2 linked regions of the Anolis sagrei genome follow. The protein of the gene in region 1 interacts with the protein of each later gene in a pairwise test. Links are inferred from orthologs where the notes say so. Each region holds a gene or a part of one and is shown on either strand. Other genes may lie near its edges.

Evidence for each region.
Region 2: the proteins of MCM10 (region 1) and CEP72 interact in a two-hybrid assay, tested with the Homo sapiens proteins (2 studies listed by BioGRID and IntAct). The two-hybrid records come from large-scale screens. The link is inferred for Anolis sagrei from reciprocal best matches to the Homo sapiens genes MCM10 and CEP72.

What each region holds. Positions count from the first base shown.
Region 1 is NC_090025.1:92,656,055-92,665,664, reverse strand, and holds the start of MCM10 (protein MCM10 homolog), read right to left. Parts: upstream 3,565-9,610; 5' UTR 3,486-3,564; intron 1,896-3,485; 5' UTR 1,731-1,895; coding exon 1,724-1,730; intron 695-1,723; coding exon 362-694; intron 1-361. UniProt on the Homo sapiens protein: Acts as a replication initiation factor that brings together the MCM2-7 helicase and the DNA polymerase alpha/primase complex in order to initiate DNA replication. Additionally, plays a role in preventing DNA damage during replication.
Region 2 is NC_090026.1:60,067,268-60,076,856, reverse strand, and holds the start of CEP72 (centrosomal protein of 72 kDa), read right to left. Parts: upstream 4,007-9,589; 5' UTR 3,898-4,006; coding exon 3,816-3,897; intron 1-3,815. UniProt on the Homo sapiens protein: Involved in the recruitment of key centrosomal proteins to the centrosome.

The sequences.
Region 1 (9,610 bases):
CTGGAATGTAACACCCACAATAAGTGAGGGAATACTGTACTGTTTTTACACTGCTTCAGACCAGCACTTCTTCTAACCTAAACTGGGACAAGGAACCTTTTTTCTTTCTGTCAGGGACTACAGAATGCTTCATGGAGGTCAGAAGTTGGCAGGCCCAAAATAAGGTATTCTTTTCTCTTTTTGCCACTCATGGACCACAAGTTGTTTAAAGCATCAAATTATATTAAAGAAGCATGAGAACTGCAAGGGCAGCAATACCTGGATCAACCATGCACTACTGTTGTTTGGAATGCTAGTTATGCTTACTATAAAAGCTTTGTATTTGAGCAGCCATTACAAATATAACAACATTTCAAGAAACCTTGCAGGGCTTGATTGGTGGCCTCCTTTGCTTGATCAACAGCTGAGGAAAGAGGTGTTCCTGGCACAGTTTCCTTCTCCTGTTCCTCTTCTGAGAGGTCTCCCACATCTCCAAACAACTCAGCCACACTTTCCTCATGGCCACTGGATTCCTCTTCCTTGCCCTCCACCTCCTCAGTGTAGGACTCTTCATCTTCTTCGTCAAAGAGCTTGTCATAATCATCAGGATCACTTGCCACGGCTACATTATCTGTGCTCTTCTCTCCGGAAACGGGCTCTGCAGTGGCCTCATTCTCCTCCAAGAGGGAGGCCAACAGGTCTAAGCTATCACTGTCTGGAAAGAAATGGAAAAAAAAACCAGATCAATGTTATAACAAACCCAAACACAAGATATCTAAATACATAACACTGTATTTAGAGTACCATAACATTCACCATAACATGGTGAATGAATTAGAACTAGACATCCCGAGGAGTGAGGTTGAATGGGCCTTAAGAAGCATTGCTAACAACAAGGCAGCAGGAGATGACAGGATCCCATCTGAACTGTTTAAAACAGGGGTCCGCAAACTTTTTGAACAGAGGGCCAGGTCACAGTCCCTCAAACTGTTGGCGGGCCAGATTATAATTCGCAAAAATTCCATGTCATGTAAAATCTCTGGTGGAAGACATGATGTGTTTATATTACAGGAGGAAAAGGGAGCATTCAAAAGATTTAAACCATAAGCAGAAGCTGGCTATGCAGTTGGCTTTTTACAAAAGCATGACATTTCAGTTGGAATGTCATCTTTTTTTTTTCTTATTGGCATGAGATAGGTGCCACTGAAAATCTAAAATAAGACTGCTTATTATAAGCGTTTCATACTATATATATACATACACCCACACACAGGTTTTATATAATCTTTACTTGATCTGGATTCCTGTTAGCTGCTCTATGTGGCTCATCACAAACATCACTGTCAACAGCTTGCATTTTCTTAATTAGAAACTTATCATTTTTAATGGTAAATACTGCAATTCAATTAACAAATTGTACAAATTATCCAAGTTATAACAGTAACTCCACCTGAACAACACTCCACTTCTATAGTGATTAATGCTCCCTGGAAGTTTTTGAATGGAGGCTAGATGGCCATCTGTAGGGGGTGCTTCGATTGTGCTTTTCCTGCATGGCAGGGGGTTGGACTAGATAGTCCATGTGGACTCTTCCAATTCTAGATTCTATTACACTAAATCTGAAAACCATCTCTGCTTCTGTTGGCTCCAGGAGCAGAAAATAAGTTTGCATAGTACCTGAAAAGCACAGTGTTAAAGGTAACAGGATAATTAATATGTTTTAAACAATACGTACAGAACTTACCATCCATGTCATGAGCTGCACCAGCAGACACTTCACAAAAGAATTGTTGACTTCTAGAGAGTCTTTTGTTATGAGTTCACGCCCAAAATTGGGAAACTGGTACAAACTCCAAGGTCTGTGTATTTTTAATCGTATTACTTTTTAAAGTTGCAAGCTGTTTCGGGCCTCAATCCTGAGAAAATGAATATGAAAGTAATAACAGCAAAATATTATTTCTATTATCATAATAATATTTATTAAATGTTAATTATACATCTACATAAATAAAACTGTAATGTTCGTTTGTGGGATTAACATAACTCAGAAACCACTGGACGAATTGACACCAAATTTTGACACAATACACCTAACAGTCCAACGAGTGTTCAACACCCCTAAAATATATATTTTTTAAAATATCCACAGCAGAACGGACTAAAAAACCCCCTAAAATACACCATACACACACTCATACATACGCATACACACATATATATACCCTTTCTTACTTTGTCATTTGAGGCGCAGGAGACAGGAAGCCCACAACTTCTTATATAATTTGTCAGTTGTGTAATCCAAGAAAGGGTGCCATACAACGAATTTTGGATATAGAAGCACAAAAAGATATAGCCACCCTCAATAAGACTGCTAACCTAAAATGGCTGTCAATATAAACGTACCTTTCAAATTGCTAACTACCTAAAAATGCAAATACCAAAACATCTTAGGGAGGTATTCACTCGAGCCAGATTTGATCAGCTCGAGACAATGGTTAGATACGGGAGATTTAACAGCATCCCTTATAATGAACGGAGTTGTATCTGCGGGGCACCTGAAATTGAGGATATAGCACACATATTGTTTGATTGCAAATTGTATCAAAAGGTGAGAGACTTCCACCTTGGTCCATATATCAAACGGACAATGTATTGGGAATCCCACATCAGAACAACATATTTTATGTGTGGCCAAGACCCAAAAATAATATAAAACAGCTCTGTACTTAAGCAAAACAATACGTCTGAGAACCACATATGTAGGGCTGATTGGAGTAATAGTTTTCTAAGATCTACAGAGACCCTCGCTGGAACACCTCAGCAAGCGAGAGTCCAAAAGTGGCAGTCTCAAACCCAGAATGTTTGAGGTGGAGTATCCATTGGCCTGTAGAGCCCTATTGATCAGTTTATCAGTTTTATCATATTTATTTACTGTATTGTTATAAGTGTCTTATTTTAACTTATTATGTGGAGTGTGATAAGGTCTTGTCAGGCCTTGTTGTTCTGTTTCTTATTGTGATATGGCCTAAGGGCTAATCAATAAAAATTACTACTACTATATATATATACCCAAACACATACAAATATACACACACACACACAAATATACACATGCACACATACATATACACACATATAAACACAAATATGCATATAGACAAGAACACACATCTACACAATATCCATAATGAATACTTATTAAGGAATAAATAACTAATTACACAATTATGGGGATCATCATGATTAATGTTGTTATTATTTGGTCTCTCCCTCTTTTTTTGGTGGTCCCTTTTTCCTCCCAAAATCAGAGCCCCAGAACCGAACCCCACCTTTTTGGAGCAACCCAGATGATATCCTTTTCCAATCCTGTAATGGGGATCCTTTCTTTCTTTCTCCCTTTCTCCCTTTCTCCCTTTCTCCCTTCCTTCCTTCCTTCCTTCCTTCCTCCCTCCCTCCCTCCCTTCCTTCCTTCCTTCCTTCCTTCCTTTCTATCCAGGCCTTCTTACCTTCCTCCTCCTCTCTCCTCCTTTGGCGCCATCTGCTCGCTTCCTCCCAATCACCCGCCAAAATTCCAACCCTCCGTAGCCCCGCCCCCATCACCGCCCATCCGATTCAACCCGGAAGCTGAAGCGTCGCCAGCTCGCCCGTCTCTGTCTCTGGAATGAAGGGCGGGGTGCACAATGCGCATGCTCGGAAGGTCTTCCTTGATTCATTTTGCAGGACAGTAGAGCTAGGCGTGTATGCGGATCTTAAAGGAGATGCCCCTTTTGCTGATTAGCAAGAGATCCCCTCTTAGCTTAGTTAAGCTGGGTCTGTCCTAGATGGTACTTGGATGGGAGATCAGCCTCAGAATGGAATTAAACCTCAAAACATGCGAGAAAATATGAAGCACTAGCAATCCCCTGTAATGCGTTGCTATGGCCCAATTTGGTGATCTGGGAAATAAAGTAATGAGAAAGTGTTGGTTTCTAATATATGTGATGTCTTTATGCTTGTGGGTAAACAGTATTTCTTGCTCTTTCTTTGCCAGTGTTGATATCTGGTTTGCCTACTCTGGAACATGGAACATATCGTCCTTCCCTTTCAAATCTTTGATACTGCATCTGTCCTACACATAGAATCAAAGAGTTGGGAGAGATGTCATGGGCCATCCAGTCCAACCCCCTGCCAAGAAGCAGGAATATTGCATTCAAATCACCCCTGACAGATGGCCATCCAGACTCTGTTTAAAAGCTTCCAAAAAAGGAGCCTCCACCACACTCCGGGGCAGAGAGTTCCACTGCTGAACGGCTCTCACAGTCAGGAAGTTCTTCCTCATGTTCAGATGGAATCTCCTCTCTTGTAGTTTGAAGCCATTGTTCCGTGTCCTAGTCTCCAAGGAAGCAGAAAACAAGCTTGCTCCCTCCTCCCTGTGGCTTCCTCTCACATAATGGCTATCATATCTCCTCTCAGCCTTCTCTTCTTCAGGCTAAACATGCCCAGTTCCCTAAGCCGCTCCTCATAGGGCTTGTTCTCCAGACCCTTGAGCATTTTAGTCGCCCTCCTCTGGACACATTCCAGCTTGTCAATATCTCTCTTCAATTGTGGTGCCCAGAATTGGACACAATATTCCAGATGTGGTCTAACCAAGACAGAATAGAGGGGTAGCATGACTTCCCTAGATCTAGACACTATGCTCCTATTGATGCAGGCCAAAATCCCATTGGCTTTTTTTGCCGCCACATCACATTGTTGGCTCATGTTTAACTTGTTGTCCACGAGGACTCCAAGATCTTTTTCACACGTACTGCTCTCGAGTGAGGCATCCCCCATTTTTTATCTTTGCATTTCGTTTTTCCTGCCAAAGTGGAGTATCTTGCATTTGTCCCTGTTGAACTTCATCTTGTTAGTTTTGGCCCATCTCTCTAATCTATCAAGATCGTTTTGAGTCCTGCTCCTGTCCTCTGGAGTATTGGCTATCCCCCCCCCCCCCCCCAATTTGGTGTCGTCTGCAAACTTGATGATCCTGCCTTCTAGCCCTTCGTCTAAGTCATTAATAAAGATGTTGAACAGGACCGGGCCCAGGACGGAACCCTGCGGCACTCCGCTCTGTATCTTTGCATTTCATTTTTTCTGCCAAAGTGGAGTATCTTGCATTTGTCACTGTTGAACTTCATTTTGTTAGTTTTGGCCCATCTCTCTAATCTGTCAAGATCATTTTGAATTCTGCTCCTGTCCTCTGGACTATTGGCTATCCCTCCCAATTTGGTGTCGTCTGCAAACTTGATGATCATGCCTTCTAGCCCTTCATCTAAGTCATTAATAAAGATGTTGAACAGGACCGGGCCCAGGACGGAACCCTGCGGCACTCCACTTGTCACTTCTTTCCAAGATGAAGAGGAAACATTCGTGAGCACTCTCTGTGTTCGTCCACTTAACCAATTACAGATCCACCTCACCGTAGTTTTGCCTAGCCCACATTGGACTAGTTTCCTTGCCAGAAGGTCATGGGGGACCTTGTCGAAGGCCTTACTGAAATCCAGGTACGCTACATCCACGGTATTCCCCGCATCTGCCCAGCTTGTAGCTCTATCGAAGAAAGAGATCAGATTAGTCTGGCATGACTTGTTTTTGATAAATCCATGTTGGCTATTAGCGATGGCTGCATTTGTTTCTAAGTGTTTGCAGACCGCTTCCTTAACAATCTTTTCCAGAATTTTGCCTGGTATTGACGTGAGGCTGACCGGACGGTAGTTGTTTGGGTCATCCTTTTTTCCCTTCTTGAAGATATATGTGTGTGTGTGTGAATGGCAGGATGGCCCTTTGTCAGGAGGGCTTGATTATGTTTTCTTGCCCTGGTGAAGGGAGTTGGACTGGATGGCTTTAAGGCAGCATTTCTCAACCTGGGGTTTGGGACCCCTGGGGGGGGGGGGGGGTTGCAAGGAGGTGTCAGAAGACCACAAGAAAACAGTATTTTCTGTTGGTCATGAGGGTTCTGTGTGGGAAGTTTGCCCCAATTCTGTCATTAGTGGGGTTCAGAATGCTCCTTGATTGTAGGTGAACTATAAATCCCAGTAACTACAACTCCCAAATTTCAAGGTCTATTTTCCCCAAACTCCATCTGTGTTTATATTTGGGCATATTGAGTATTCGTGCCAAGTTTGGTCCAGATCCATCATTGTTTGAGCCCACAATGCTCACTAGATGTAGGTGAACCAAAACTCCAAAACTCAAGGTTAATGCCCACCAAACCCTTCTAGTGTTTTCTGTTGGTCAGGGGAGTTCTGTGTGTCAAGTTTGGTTCAATTCCATCATTGGTGGAGTCCAGAATGCTCTTTGATTATAGGTGAACTATAAATCCCAGCAACTACAACTCCCAAATGACAAAATCATAATTTTTTGCGTGATGGTCACTCCTTGTGTTGTGAGACGTTTTGTTGCCAAATTTGGTGTGATTTTGTTCATTGGTTCTTTTGTTTTTAAGGTACTCATTATGCACAGAGCATATAGATAGATAGATAGATAGATAGATAGATAGATAGATAGATAGATAGATAGATTGCTTTGGGAAAACCGCTTCGGAGAACTGCATCTTATGTGTCAAAACTCATTTTCTTGGAGGCCACATCAGCCTGGAAATGGGTATAGGGGAGGTAGGAGGGGGGTGGGAAATGGGGAAGTGGAGGGATGGTAGAGAAAGCTGCTGGCTTCCAGTCCTCTCCATCTTTGGCTTCAGAGTCTCATAAGTCAATTTTCCAGATAAGTGGCTAGCCCTTTTGCATCTGATCCAATTTTCTAATCATTTTTTTAAAGTTATCATTCTGTATTTATTATCCATTTATAGTTTTTTTGGATTAAGTAGTTCCTTACCGGGGACCAATCTGTTTGTATTATCTTCATCGTTTGGTTCGCCTTCAACAACTGTGTTAGTCTATCCATATTCATAATATGTATTATCTTGAGAAGCCATTGTTCTTGTGTGGGGATCTCCTTGGTTCTCCAATGCCTCATGTAGCAGACATGCCGCATTATCACAGGGTGTCTGCGCCCTACACCACTGGAGAAATTACACTGCTTAGCCGGTATTGCACCACCTGACACCTGCCGGGAAGTAGCAGCCAATAGTGAAAGGACCAAGGCAGAGACATCTCCAGCTCATCCCGTTTCGGTATCAGCCAGCACGTCAACGACTTAAATCTAGAAATAGTTTTCTAAGATCTATGGAGATACTCGCTGGAACACCTCAGCAAGTGAGAGTCCAAAAGTGGCAGGCTCAAACCCAGAAACTCAACCAATGGCTGATACTAAATGAGAGACTTCCCCCTGGGCACACAGAAGACTGGGCGACTTGGAGGGCGCTGAACAGACTGCGCTCTGGCACCACAAGATGCAGAGCCAACCTTAAGAAATGGGGCTACAAAGTGGAATCCACGACATGCTAGTGTGGAGGAGAGCAAACCACTGACTACCTGCTGCAATGCAACCTGAGCCCTGCTATATGCACAATGGAGGACCTTCTTGCAGCAACACCAGAAGCACTCCAAGTGGCCAGATACTGGTCAAAGGACATTTAATCAACTACCAAACTCACAAACTTTGTATTTTGTCTGCATGTCTGTTTTGTCCTGTTAGAAATGTAATACAATTGACTGGTTGCCCTGACACGACAAATAAATAATGTAGCAGATTCTGACTGCAGTTATTAAGTAAATTAGGAGTTTTTCTTTATTTATTTCCAGGTCTTCCTCTATAATTCCTAATAAAAAAAAGTTCTGGCTTTAAATCAATCTTAACCTCAAGCATCTGTAGCCGAAATTTAACCCGAAATTTTACAGGTTAAAAAAATAAACCTGGTTTCCTCATGAATTTTAACTCATGGCTAACCAAATTCCCATGCTAAGTCTATGAGATGCAAAAAATTAAAAGTCCCTCCAGAACTGCAAGCACTATCTCAAGCAAATATTGACAATTTATTCACACAGTCATTACTTGCAGCAATAGCCGATGTAGCGAAGCAACCAAGTTGGGGGTGGGGGGTGTTGAATGCTCTCGTTAAGGAGGCCAGACTTGGTGGAGGTGGTTGACAAGGGCGGAGCTGCAGGCTATTGAAGGCTGCTCTGCCCCTGCTTTGATCTTTGCTTCAGTGTGAGCTAGGAGGCAGGTTTCAACCCCCCCCCCCAATTTCCTACCCCCCTCCTGAAATGTTCAACCCCTCCCTGAAATTTTCAACCCTCCCTGAAATTTTTTTCTGGCTACGGCCCTGCACACACATATATTTTATGCTTGTGGATTTCAATGGCTTCTCTGTGTAGTCTGACATGGTGGTTGTTGGTGTGGTCCAGCATTTCTGTGTTCTCAAATAATATGCTGTGCAGGTTGGTTCACAAGGTGCTCTGCTATGGCTGATTTCTCTGGTGGAAGTAGTCTGCAGTGCCTTTCATGTTCCTTGATTCGTGTTTGGGCAATGCTGCTTTTGGTGGTCCCTATGTAGACCTGTCCACAGCTCCACGGTACATGGTAGACTCCTGCAGAAGCGAGAGGATCCCTCTTGTCCTTTGCTGAACATAGCATTTGTTGGATTTTCTTGGTGGGTCTGCAGATAGTTTGTATGTTGTGTTTCCTCATCAGAGTCCTTTGTCCGACCCTGGTTATTCCACAGATATATAAACTCTATGTACTCTATGTATATATGTACTCTATGTAGGCATCGAATAGTGCCTTTTTTGCAAGCCACCTTGAGTCCCCCCTAGGAGGTTGAGAAGGGCGGAGCAAAAGTAACTGTAATAAATAAATAAATAAATAAACCCTTTTTCCTAGTTCCAACAGACCTCACTACCTCTGAGGATGCTTGCCATAGATGCAGGCGAAATGTCAGGAGAAAATGCCTTTAGAATATGGCCATATAGCCCCCAAAAAACCTACAACAACCCAGTCATTCCGGCCATGAAAGCCTTCGACAATACATCATCATCATCATCATCATCATCATCATCATCATCATCTTCATTATGTCCCCTGCCACACATTGTTGTGGCCCAGTCTGTGTATATGTTTTGTGTGTATATATTTGTGTATATGTGTCTATGTGTGTTTCCATATATATATGTGGTTTTGTGCATACGTTGTAATGTACTTTTTTGGATTTTAGCTTTTTAAGCCTCTTCTGCTGTGTTTTTCAGTGATTTTATGAGTGATGGTCATTTGTTGGCCTGATATGTGTATTGAGTCCAAATTTAGTATCAATTCGTCCAGTGGTTTTTGAGTTATATTAATCCCACAAATGAACATTACATTTTTATTTATATAGATATATAAACACAAAATGCATATACACAGAAAGGGGGAAGGAAGGAGGGAGAGAAAGAGCTCCCCCCACAATATGCAGCAACCACAGATTCTCCAATCCGGATTGGAAGTTTCAGCACCCACTCTGTAAGATGACTCCCGGAGTATAAGCCTACTCCTGCATATAAGACGAGTCCCACGGATAAGGCTAGTCCAGCGTATAAGGTGACTGCTGTGTATAAGATTACTCCCGTGTATAAGACGACTCCTGCATATAAGATGACCACTGACTTTTGAGAAGATTTTCTTGGGTTAAAAAGTAGTCTTATACGCCAGAATATATGGTATGTAAAAAAAGAACTTCTGG
Region 2 (9,589 bases), on another chromosome or scaffold:
CCTAGTTATTATATGTGTGTATTCTCTCTCAAACACACACACAGATATAAAATTTACATACCACTGCACTGCCAATTATCAGAATCAATAAATAACAAATAACAAAATAAGTAATAAAACCAATTTAAATATTAAAATACTATACATAAAAAACCCCAATAAAATATTCACGAATCCTTTATACCTAGACACATAAAGAATCAGACATCATGACGCAAGGAAAACACGAAGACATGTAAATAAGCTGAGATGGACAATTTGACAATGCTGATCAAGAAGAAATATTTGATTGAAGGTAAGACTTGGATACATTTACTGTTGTTGTTGTTCATTCGTTCAGTTGTCTCCGACTCTTCGTGACCTCATGGACCAGCCCACGCCAGAGCTCCCTGTCGGCCGTTACCACCCCCAGCTCCCTCAAGGTCAGTCCAGTCACTTCAAGGATGCCATCCATCCATCTTGTCCTTGGTCGGCCCCTCTTCCTTTTGCCTTCCACTTTCCCCAGCATAATTGTCTTCTCTAGGCTTTCCTGTCTCCTCATGATGTGACCAAAGTACTTCAACTTTGTCTCTAGTATCTTTCCCTCCAGTGAGCAGTCAGGCTTTATTTCCTGGAGGATGGACTGGTTGGATCTTCTCGCAGTCCAAGGCACTCTCAGAACTTTCCTCCAACACCACAGCTCAAAAGCATCGATCTTCCTTCGCTCAGCCTTCCCTAAGGTCCAGCTCTCACATCCGTAGGTGACAACAGGGAATACCATGGCTTTGACTAGGCGGATCTTTGTTGCCAATCTGATGTCTCTACTCTTTACTATTTTATCGAGATTGGACATTGCTCTCCTCCCAAGAAGTAAGCGTCTTCTGATTTCCTGGCCACAGTCTGCATTTACTATCCTTTTACTATCCTTTGTTTAAAGATAAAATGGGGATAATCTTTAATTAGTATAATTTTTATTTACAAAATGATATTAAAAGTAGAGGGAAGAAATGACGCTTAAACGGAGTAACAAATAGGTAGCTAAAATCAGAGAGCTCATAGAGGGAGGCCCGTAGGACCCTTCCATACAGCCATATAACCCAGAATATCAAAGTAGATAATCAACAATATCTGCTTTGAACTGGATTAGCTGAGTCCACACCACCATATAATCCAGTTCAATGTGGATTCTATACAGCTGAGTGGAAGGAGCCGTAGAGTAGTTTTAGTAGATACCTGTTCATAATGTGTATAGAGCCCCTTTTACACTGCATCAAAAATCCAGATTATCTACTTTGAACTGGAACTTTTTCTTCTCCACAATATTTTTATTGTTTCGACATTACAACATCTTGCTCACGCTTAGTTTCAATTGGTGCTCATACTTATACACACTTCATTTTATATAACATTCCTTTTGTCTGCACCTTCTTTTTCATACATCCTTCTCTTCGATGACATTTTGTATTGTTAACACCCCTAATCCCAACCCCCCATCACCATTCCCTGTGATCACATATTTACCCTATATCTTTATCTTTAACCATGCACACAATTTCCTTAATTTCTGTACAATATTCACATTGGGAAAAGGATCTTACCAGATTTCTCTGGGCAGGGAAAGAGCCAGGATTGCGTACAGAAACGTAATTGATGGGAAAGAGAGAGGGGGTTTGAACCTACCAGATTTCAGATATTACCATGAAGCAGCAGGATACACTGGTTGAAAAACTGGATAACACTAGAGAACCAAAATCTACTCAACCTAGAGGGCCATGACCTCAGATGTGGCTGGCATGCATACCTAAAGATTTCAACAGACATACAGAGTGAGGCAGCATAACTTCCTTTTTTCAAAACTTAATAAAACCCATTGTATGAATCAGAAATTTTTATTTTTTTATAATGTAGGCGCATATCTAAAGTTTTGTTTTATGTAGTTTTGAAGATCAAATTAGGTAGGTGATGTTCCCCATTCTCCATACACTGAGTAAACCGATTTCTGGCGTTTGTTATGACTCTTGCCAGCATAGCAGGTGTTATGTTGGCAATTTCTTCCTTGATGTTGTTCTTCAAATCTTGTAGGGTCCTTGGACGGTTCACATAAACACGGGATTTCAAAAACCCCATAGAAAAAAATCACAAGGGGCCAAATCTGTTCCAACTCATGATGGCAACTGAACTGTTAGGACAAAACTTTATACTCCCGCCTCTCAAACATAACTCCTGCTATGCTGGCAAGCAGGCATGTAGGCGGGGGGGGGGGGGGGGGCTCGGGGGGGCTTCAGCCCCCCCCCCGAAATTATCATGGTGGTTCGCGAAAATGCCTTACTGGTGCATTATTTAAACTGTTATGTTTATTCATATCATGAGGTCTCTTCCGACTCTTTGATTCTATGATTCTATGATCTGATCACCATACTCAATATATCCCATATGCATGGGGGCATTGGGGTAATGATACAAAAGGTTTGCTAGGCTAGACCCTCTTTCACTCAGACTCAGCCCCCCCCCCGAAACTCAGCCCCCCCGAAACTCAGGCCCCCCCCCCGAAACCCCCCCTGAAAATTTTTTTAGCCCCCCCCCCCCCCCCCCGAAACGAAATCCTGGCTACGGGCCTGCTGGCAAGAGTAATGACAAACGCCAGAAATCGGTTTACTCAGTGTATGGAGAATGAGGGACGTCACCTACCTAATTTGATCTTCAAAACTACGTAAAACAAAACTTTAGGTATGTGCCTACATCAGTGATTCTCAACCTTCCTAATGCCACAACCCCTTAGTACAGTTCCTCATGTTGTGGTGACCTCCAATCATAAAATTATTTTCATTGCTACTTCATAATTGCAATTTTGCTACTGTTATGAATCGTAATGTAAATATCTGATATTTACATTATTTTAATTCACTGGACCAAATTTGGCATAAATATCCAATACGCCCAAATTTGAATACTGGTCAGGTTGAGGGCAAATTTTGTATTGTTGGAGTTTGAAGTCTATAACCCTTTGGGTTTGATGTGAATGTACGGGACTGGGTCCCAATCTTGTGATCTGGATTTGTATATACACTTTGTGCTGGTCATGGACTGTAATAAAGTTTTGATTGATTGATTGATTGATTGATTGATTGAGGGCAAATTGATTTTGTCATCTGGAAGCTGTAGTTGCTGGGATTTATAGTTCACCTGCAATGAAAGAGCATTCTGAACTCCACCAATGATGGAATCAAACCACACTTGGCCCACAGAACTCCCATCACCAACAGAAAATACTGGAAGGTTTTGGTGGGCATTTACTTTGAGTTTTGGAGTTGTAGTTCACCTACATCCAGAGAGTACTGTGGACTCAAACAATGATGGATCTGGATCAAACTTGGCACAAATACTCAATATGCCCAAATGTGAACACTGGTGGAGCTTGGAAAAAATAGGCCTTGACATTTGGGAGTTGTAGTTGCTGGGATTTATAGTTCACCTACAATCAAAGAGCCACTTGAACCCCATCAACAATAGAATTGGGCCAAACTTCCCACACAGAACCAATGACTAACAGAAAATACTGCAGGGATTTGGGAGGAATTGGCAGTGATTTAGGAGAGATGTAGTTCACCTATCTCCGGATAGCACTGTGTTCCTACGACCATCAGAAATATGTGTTTTCTGATTGTCTTTGGTGACCCTGCTTGGCCTACATTTTTTTTCTGATTCATACAATGGGTTTTATTAAGTTTTGAAAAAGGGAGGTTATGCTGCTTCACACTGTATGTATGTATATATATGTATGTGTGTGTGTGTGAACAAGAAAAAGTTATGGTCAGAATAGGAAGGCAAGTACATACACACAATACAAACAGCAGGGTCATCTCGATGGGGAATGCCTTCCACTGATAGCAATGCCTTTATGACCAAGTATCCTTCCATAAACAACCATTACTCTACTGTTAGCCGTCCTCAAAAGCCACCCCCTCCCCGCTATGGAGTCTTGACTAAGCCTCGAGGGTACATGCCCGCCTCCCTCTCCAGAAACCAGCCGGTCACCGAGATTCTGGTGCCTCAGATTGACCCTGTCTCGAACATCTTCCTCCGTCAGCGGCGCCCCGTCCGCGGCCATCATTTTCAAATAGTGCGCATGCGCTCTCCTCGAGAAGAAAGCGCCGTTGGACGCGGCGCCCCTCGAGCTAGGAGACGGGGAGCGCGCGGCTGAGCTCGCGCTCATCTCGCAGGCGGAGGAGCCAATCAGAGGCCGAGGAGATGTGCCATCCACAGTTGACGCTGGCTCTCGAGCGTCCGGTTGCCAGGCAACTGATGTCAGCTTCCGGTTGTATAGCAGTCTTATGAGAAGTCAGCGAGAACGAATACAAAAGCGAACAAAAAACAGGAAGAGGGGAAAAGTAGTGTCAGTATGAATTAGCCTGTGTTACCTATAAGGCTGTCATGTATATTTTTGTGCAATATTAGTATCGGTGCAGGCTTGCTTCTTCTAAAAACAGCAACTCTGGCCCATAGTTACAAAAGCCCCTTCCACACAGCTCTATAAAATCCACATTGAACTGGATTAAATGTTGGGTGTGGACTCAGGGCCCTTCCAGACAGGCCCGATATTCCAGGATCTGATCTCAGGTGCCCAGGGGGGAGTCTCTCATTTGGTATCAGACATTGGTTGAGGTTCTGGGTTTGAGCCTGCCACTTTTGGACTCGCTTGCTGAGGTGTCTCTGTAGATCTTAGAAAACTATTTCTTGATTTAAGTCGTTGACGTGCTGGCTGATATCCAAACAAGGGATGCTGCAGAAGGCATCACTTTTTCATAGAATCATAGAGTCCAACCCCCTGCCAAGAAGCAGGAAAATTGCATTCAAAGCACTCCCGACAGATGGCCATCCAGTCTCTGCTTAAAAGCTTCCAAAGAATGAGCCTCCATCACACTCCGGGGCAGAGAGTTCCACTGCTGAATGGCTCTCACAGTCAGGAAGGTCTTCCTAATGTTCAGATGGAATTTCCTTTCTTATAGTTTGAAGCCATTGTTCCGCATCCTAGTCTCCACAGCAGCAGAAAACAAGCTTGCTCCCTCCTCCCTATGACTTCCTCTCACATATTTATACCTGGCTATCATGTCTTCCCTCAATCTTCTTCAGGCCAAACATGCCCAGCTTTTGAAACCACTCCTCATAGGGCTTGTTCTCCAGACCAAGCCCTTTAGTCGTCCTCCTCTGGACACATTCCAGCTTGTCAACATCTCCCTTAAATTGTAGTGCCGTGAATTGGACACAGTATTCCAGATGTGGTATAACCAAGGCTTTTTTTTTTTTTGCCGCCGCATGACATTGTTGGCTCATGTTTAAATTTGTTGTCCACGAGGACTCCAAGATCTTTTTCACACGTACTGTTCTCGAGCCATGAGTCCCCCATTCTGTATCTTTGCATTTCATTTTTTTCTGCCTGTGGAGTATCTTGCATTTGTCACCACTGAACTTCATTTTGTTAGTTTTGGCCCATCTCTCTTATCTGTTAAGATCGTTTTGAATTCTACTCCGGTCTTCGAGTATTGGCTATCTCTCCCAAATTGGTGTCATCTGCAAACTTGATGATCATGCCTTCTAACCCTTCATCTAAGTCATTAATAAAGATGTTGAACAGGACCGGGCCCTGCGGCACTCCGTTCGTTACTTCTTTCCAGGAAGTAACAGTGTTACCAATTAAACATCCATTTTTGAAGGAAAGAAAGTAAAATTTAGAGGAAATGAAACTTTTAAAGCAGAGGGCCATTCACAGTCCCTCGACTATTGGGGGGGGGGCAGTTTGAGGAAAAACATGAACAAATTCTTATGTATATATCTTATTTGTAGTGAAAAAACCATGAAAGAACAATACAGTGTTTAAAATGAAGAGTAATTTTAACCAACATAAACTTACCAGTATTTCAATGGGAAGTGTGGGCCTGCTTTTGGATGATGAGATTGTCAAGTTAATTAGGATTGTTATTGTGTCCCTTCAAGTCATTTCAGACTTAGTCTAAAGTTTAGGGCTGGGGCTGAGTAAATTACCTTGGAGGGCACATCTACACTGACCACTGGGGTCAGCTTCGAGCCAGCATAAAAGAAAGTGTGATTTCAATGTGTGAACAATTTGGTTAGTAATTGTTGTTATATTGCTTTATTACATTTAATGGCATCAAATTGTGCCTTCCTGAGTTCCCCTTTGGGGGGTGAGAAGGACGGGGCAGAAAATACTGGAAATAAATAAATAACTAGTAATCCCGAAACTGGCTTGAGGTCTGGATGACGCTCACATGCACTACAGAGGCGGACCTCGAACCAGTTCCAGAATCTGGAATTTGACAATCACCAACAATGCAGGGTTTTTTAAACCTCATTTTGTCAGAATACACATATATTGATCAGTGGAGTACATGTTGTGTAATGTGGTTTATAGTAGGTAAAGGTAAAGGTTGTCCCCTGACATTAAGTCCAGTCATGTCTGACTCTGGGGTGTGGTGCTCATCTCCATTTCTAAGCCGAAGAGCCACCGTTGTCCGTAGACACCTCCAAGGTCATGTGGCCTTGCACTGCATGGAGCGCCGTTACCTTCCCACCGGAGCGGTACCTATTGATCTACTCACATTTGCATGTTTTCAAACTGCTAGGTTGGCAGAAGCTAGGGCTGACAGCGGAAGCTCACGCCGCTCCCCGGAATCGAACCTGCGACCTTTCGATCAACAAGCTCAGCAGCTCAGTGCTTTAACCCACTGCGCCACCGGGGGCTCTGTGGTTTATAGTAGAGTGCACTATATATAAATATTAGGGGCTCTGTTTTAGATTATTCCCTGACTTTAATTATATCAGTTTAAAGTGCTTGAAGCACATTACAGTGTTTTCTCAGCATGCATTGTATAGATGCTGCACTTTGAAACTGATCCCAAAGCTGTATTAAATAGTCAGTGTTGATATGTCCAAAGCCACCCCAAAATGAATTGTGATATGTGAACCAATACTGTTCACATTAATACCAACACTTTAACAAACAGAAAATGTTATACTGCCTATAAAGTGCAAAAAGCTAATAACTGTACTTCAAAAATGTGCACTAATGGCAAACATTTTTAAAAATATACAAAATGCTTGTCCTTGGACTTAATAGTTAAGCCTGATTCATCAGGCTTAACTTTTGGCGATATTACAGAGCTATCATAGTTTTAGATTAAGTCAAGTTTTGAAAGAACGAATCTTGTGTGAAGTATCATAAGCTGAGGAAGTATGTGTATGTTCTGCCAAGTTTTAGAAATATCTTCCTTATATTTAATTTGAACATAATAATAGCATTCATAGACTGGTAATACGGTTTTACAGAAACAGGTATGCCAACAAGGCAAATAATTAAATTTTAGTGGACCACATTTTCCCTGTGTAATAGTGGTACCATGTGACAAGATATGATAGGCCCAGCACATTGTAACCTTTCTATCTCCATATCAAAGTCAGTTCTTTCCTCCTTTATTATTTTGAAAGCCTTGTTTTTCATCAGGGTTTAATTGCTTTAAAAGTACATATTGATTATTTGATTACTTTGGAACATGGAACTAATTGCCCTTGTGCTCAAATTAGACCTTGAGGACTTTTCATTTTAGCACCAGCATAGCCAGATACTCTTTTCCACTCTTTTGGCACATAGGCTATTTCCTCTGAGAGAGGCTCAGTTCTGATGCTATGCCTCAGTATCCAAATTCATATAAGATATAATAATAATAATGATAATAATAATAATAATAATACTTTATTTATACCCCGCCACCATCTCCCCAAGGGGACCCAGGGCGGCTTACATGAGGCCAAGCCCAACAACACATCAGTAAAACAACAAAGCAACAAGCAAATAAAACAGTACAAATAATACAGGGTTAGTCAAAATGCATAGGCCAATAAGCCATTCAATTGAATAGCTTATTGGCCTATGCATTTTGACTAACCCTGTATAACTAACATGTAAGCAGTAACACACAAAAATTTAAAACACTATGGGCAGGCCAGATGTAATAGATTAAAAATTTAAAAAACAAACACTGGACATGAACAGAGGTCGGATATATCTAAGAAGGTGGCTTTTAAAGAGTAATGTATGAGGAGCGGCTTAAGGAGCTGGGCATGTTTAGACTGAAGAAGAAAAGGATGAGAGGAGATATGATAACTGTTCGGTCATGCGCTGGCCCTGTAAATAATTGTCTTTAGAATAGGATCTGCAACCTTTGCCCAGCGGGAAGCCAGGGGGCCCAAAGAGAAGTTCTCAGAGGGTTTCACCACAAATAGTCTTTAGATGGCTTGTGAAGTACAACAAAGTCCTTTATTAATGAACAATCAAACAGAAACTTCTCTTGTCTTCAGTAAAATTAAGCAAATGATTCCAAGCTTTTAGGCAACTGGTGAATTCCTAATCTTGCCCACAAAGGACAGGCAACTGTCTTCAATAACTTCTTCTTTAAAGGAAAATCCCCTTTTTAACTTCTCCCAGGCTGACTGTAATCTAACCCTTACTGACGTGGGCTCCGCTACCGGGTCGAACTGCGTCTCGAACGCCAAGTGGACCTACCAGTAAGGCAGGAAATGTTCTCCAGCTGGAGTTCTTTGGTCTTTAGGGCTGTTTCCCTGGAAATTCTTAAAGGTTGAAGCTTTTGTACAGGGGAAGCTTGCACACATCCTATACATAAGTTAACCTTGCTGAGACCAACTAAAAATGGCTCCCTTCCCTTCCCAATTGCCCTGAGCAAGGGACGGGACCAAAACTTAACGATTATGGACAGGTGACTTGCCCTATGACTGCAACCAAAACAAGCCACCTATCTGCAGAGTCCCTGAAACCTAGGACTGCAATCAAACATTTAATACAAAGCAAATAAAGTTGGAGCTCCTAGTACAGCTGTACCAGAACAATAGCCATGTATAAATATGTGAGAGGAATCCACAGGGAGGAGGGAGCAAGCTTGTTTACTGCTTCCATGGAGATTAGGACAAGGAACAATGGCTTCAAACTACAAGAAAGGAGATTCCATCTGAACATAAGGAAGGACTTCCTGACTGTGAGAGCCATTCAGCAGTGGAGCTTTCAGCGTGGTGGAGGCTCCTTCTTTGGAAGCTTTTATACAGAGGCTGGATGGCCATCTGTGAGGGGTGATTTGAATGCAATATCCCTGCTTCTTGGCAGGGGGTTGGACTGGATGGCCCATGAGGTCTCTTCCAACTCTTTGATTCTATGATTCTATGATCAACCCAACAGGTAGATAAAGTGCTTCTGAGGACATTTTGCAGGGAATTGGTCAGAACAGGGCATTGTTTCCTTTATTCAGTGAAGGCATACTGGAACAGCCACGTTTTCAGGCTCCTAGAATCATAGAATCATGAACAACTGCACTGCATCCTGTCAGGTCCCCAAAATCTGGAGGAAAGCAAGAGTATCGCCATCTTGAAGCCAGGCAAAGACCATAATGATCCAATCTCCCTGTTGTGCCACCTTTACAAAGTCCTGGAGAGACTTACTTTGCATAGAATTATGGAAAAAATAGACCCATGTCTGATTCCACAGCAAGCTGGCTTCAGGAAAGGCAAAAGCTGCACATCGCAAGTGCTG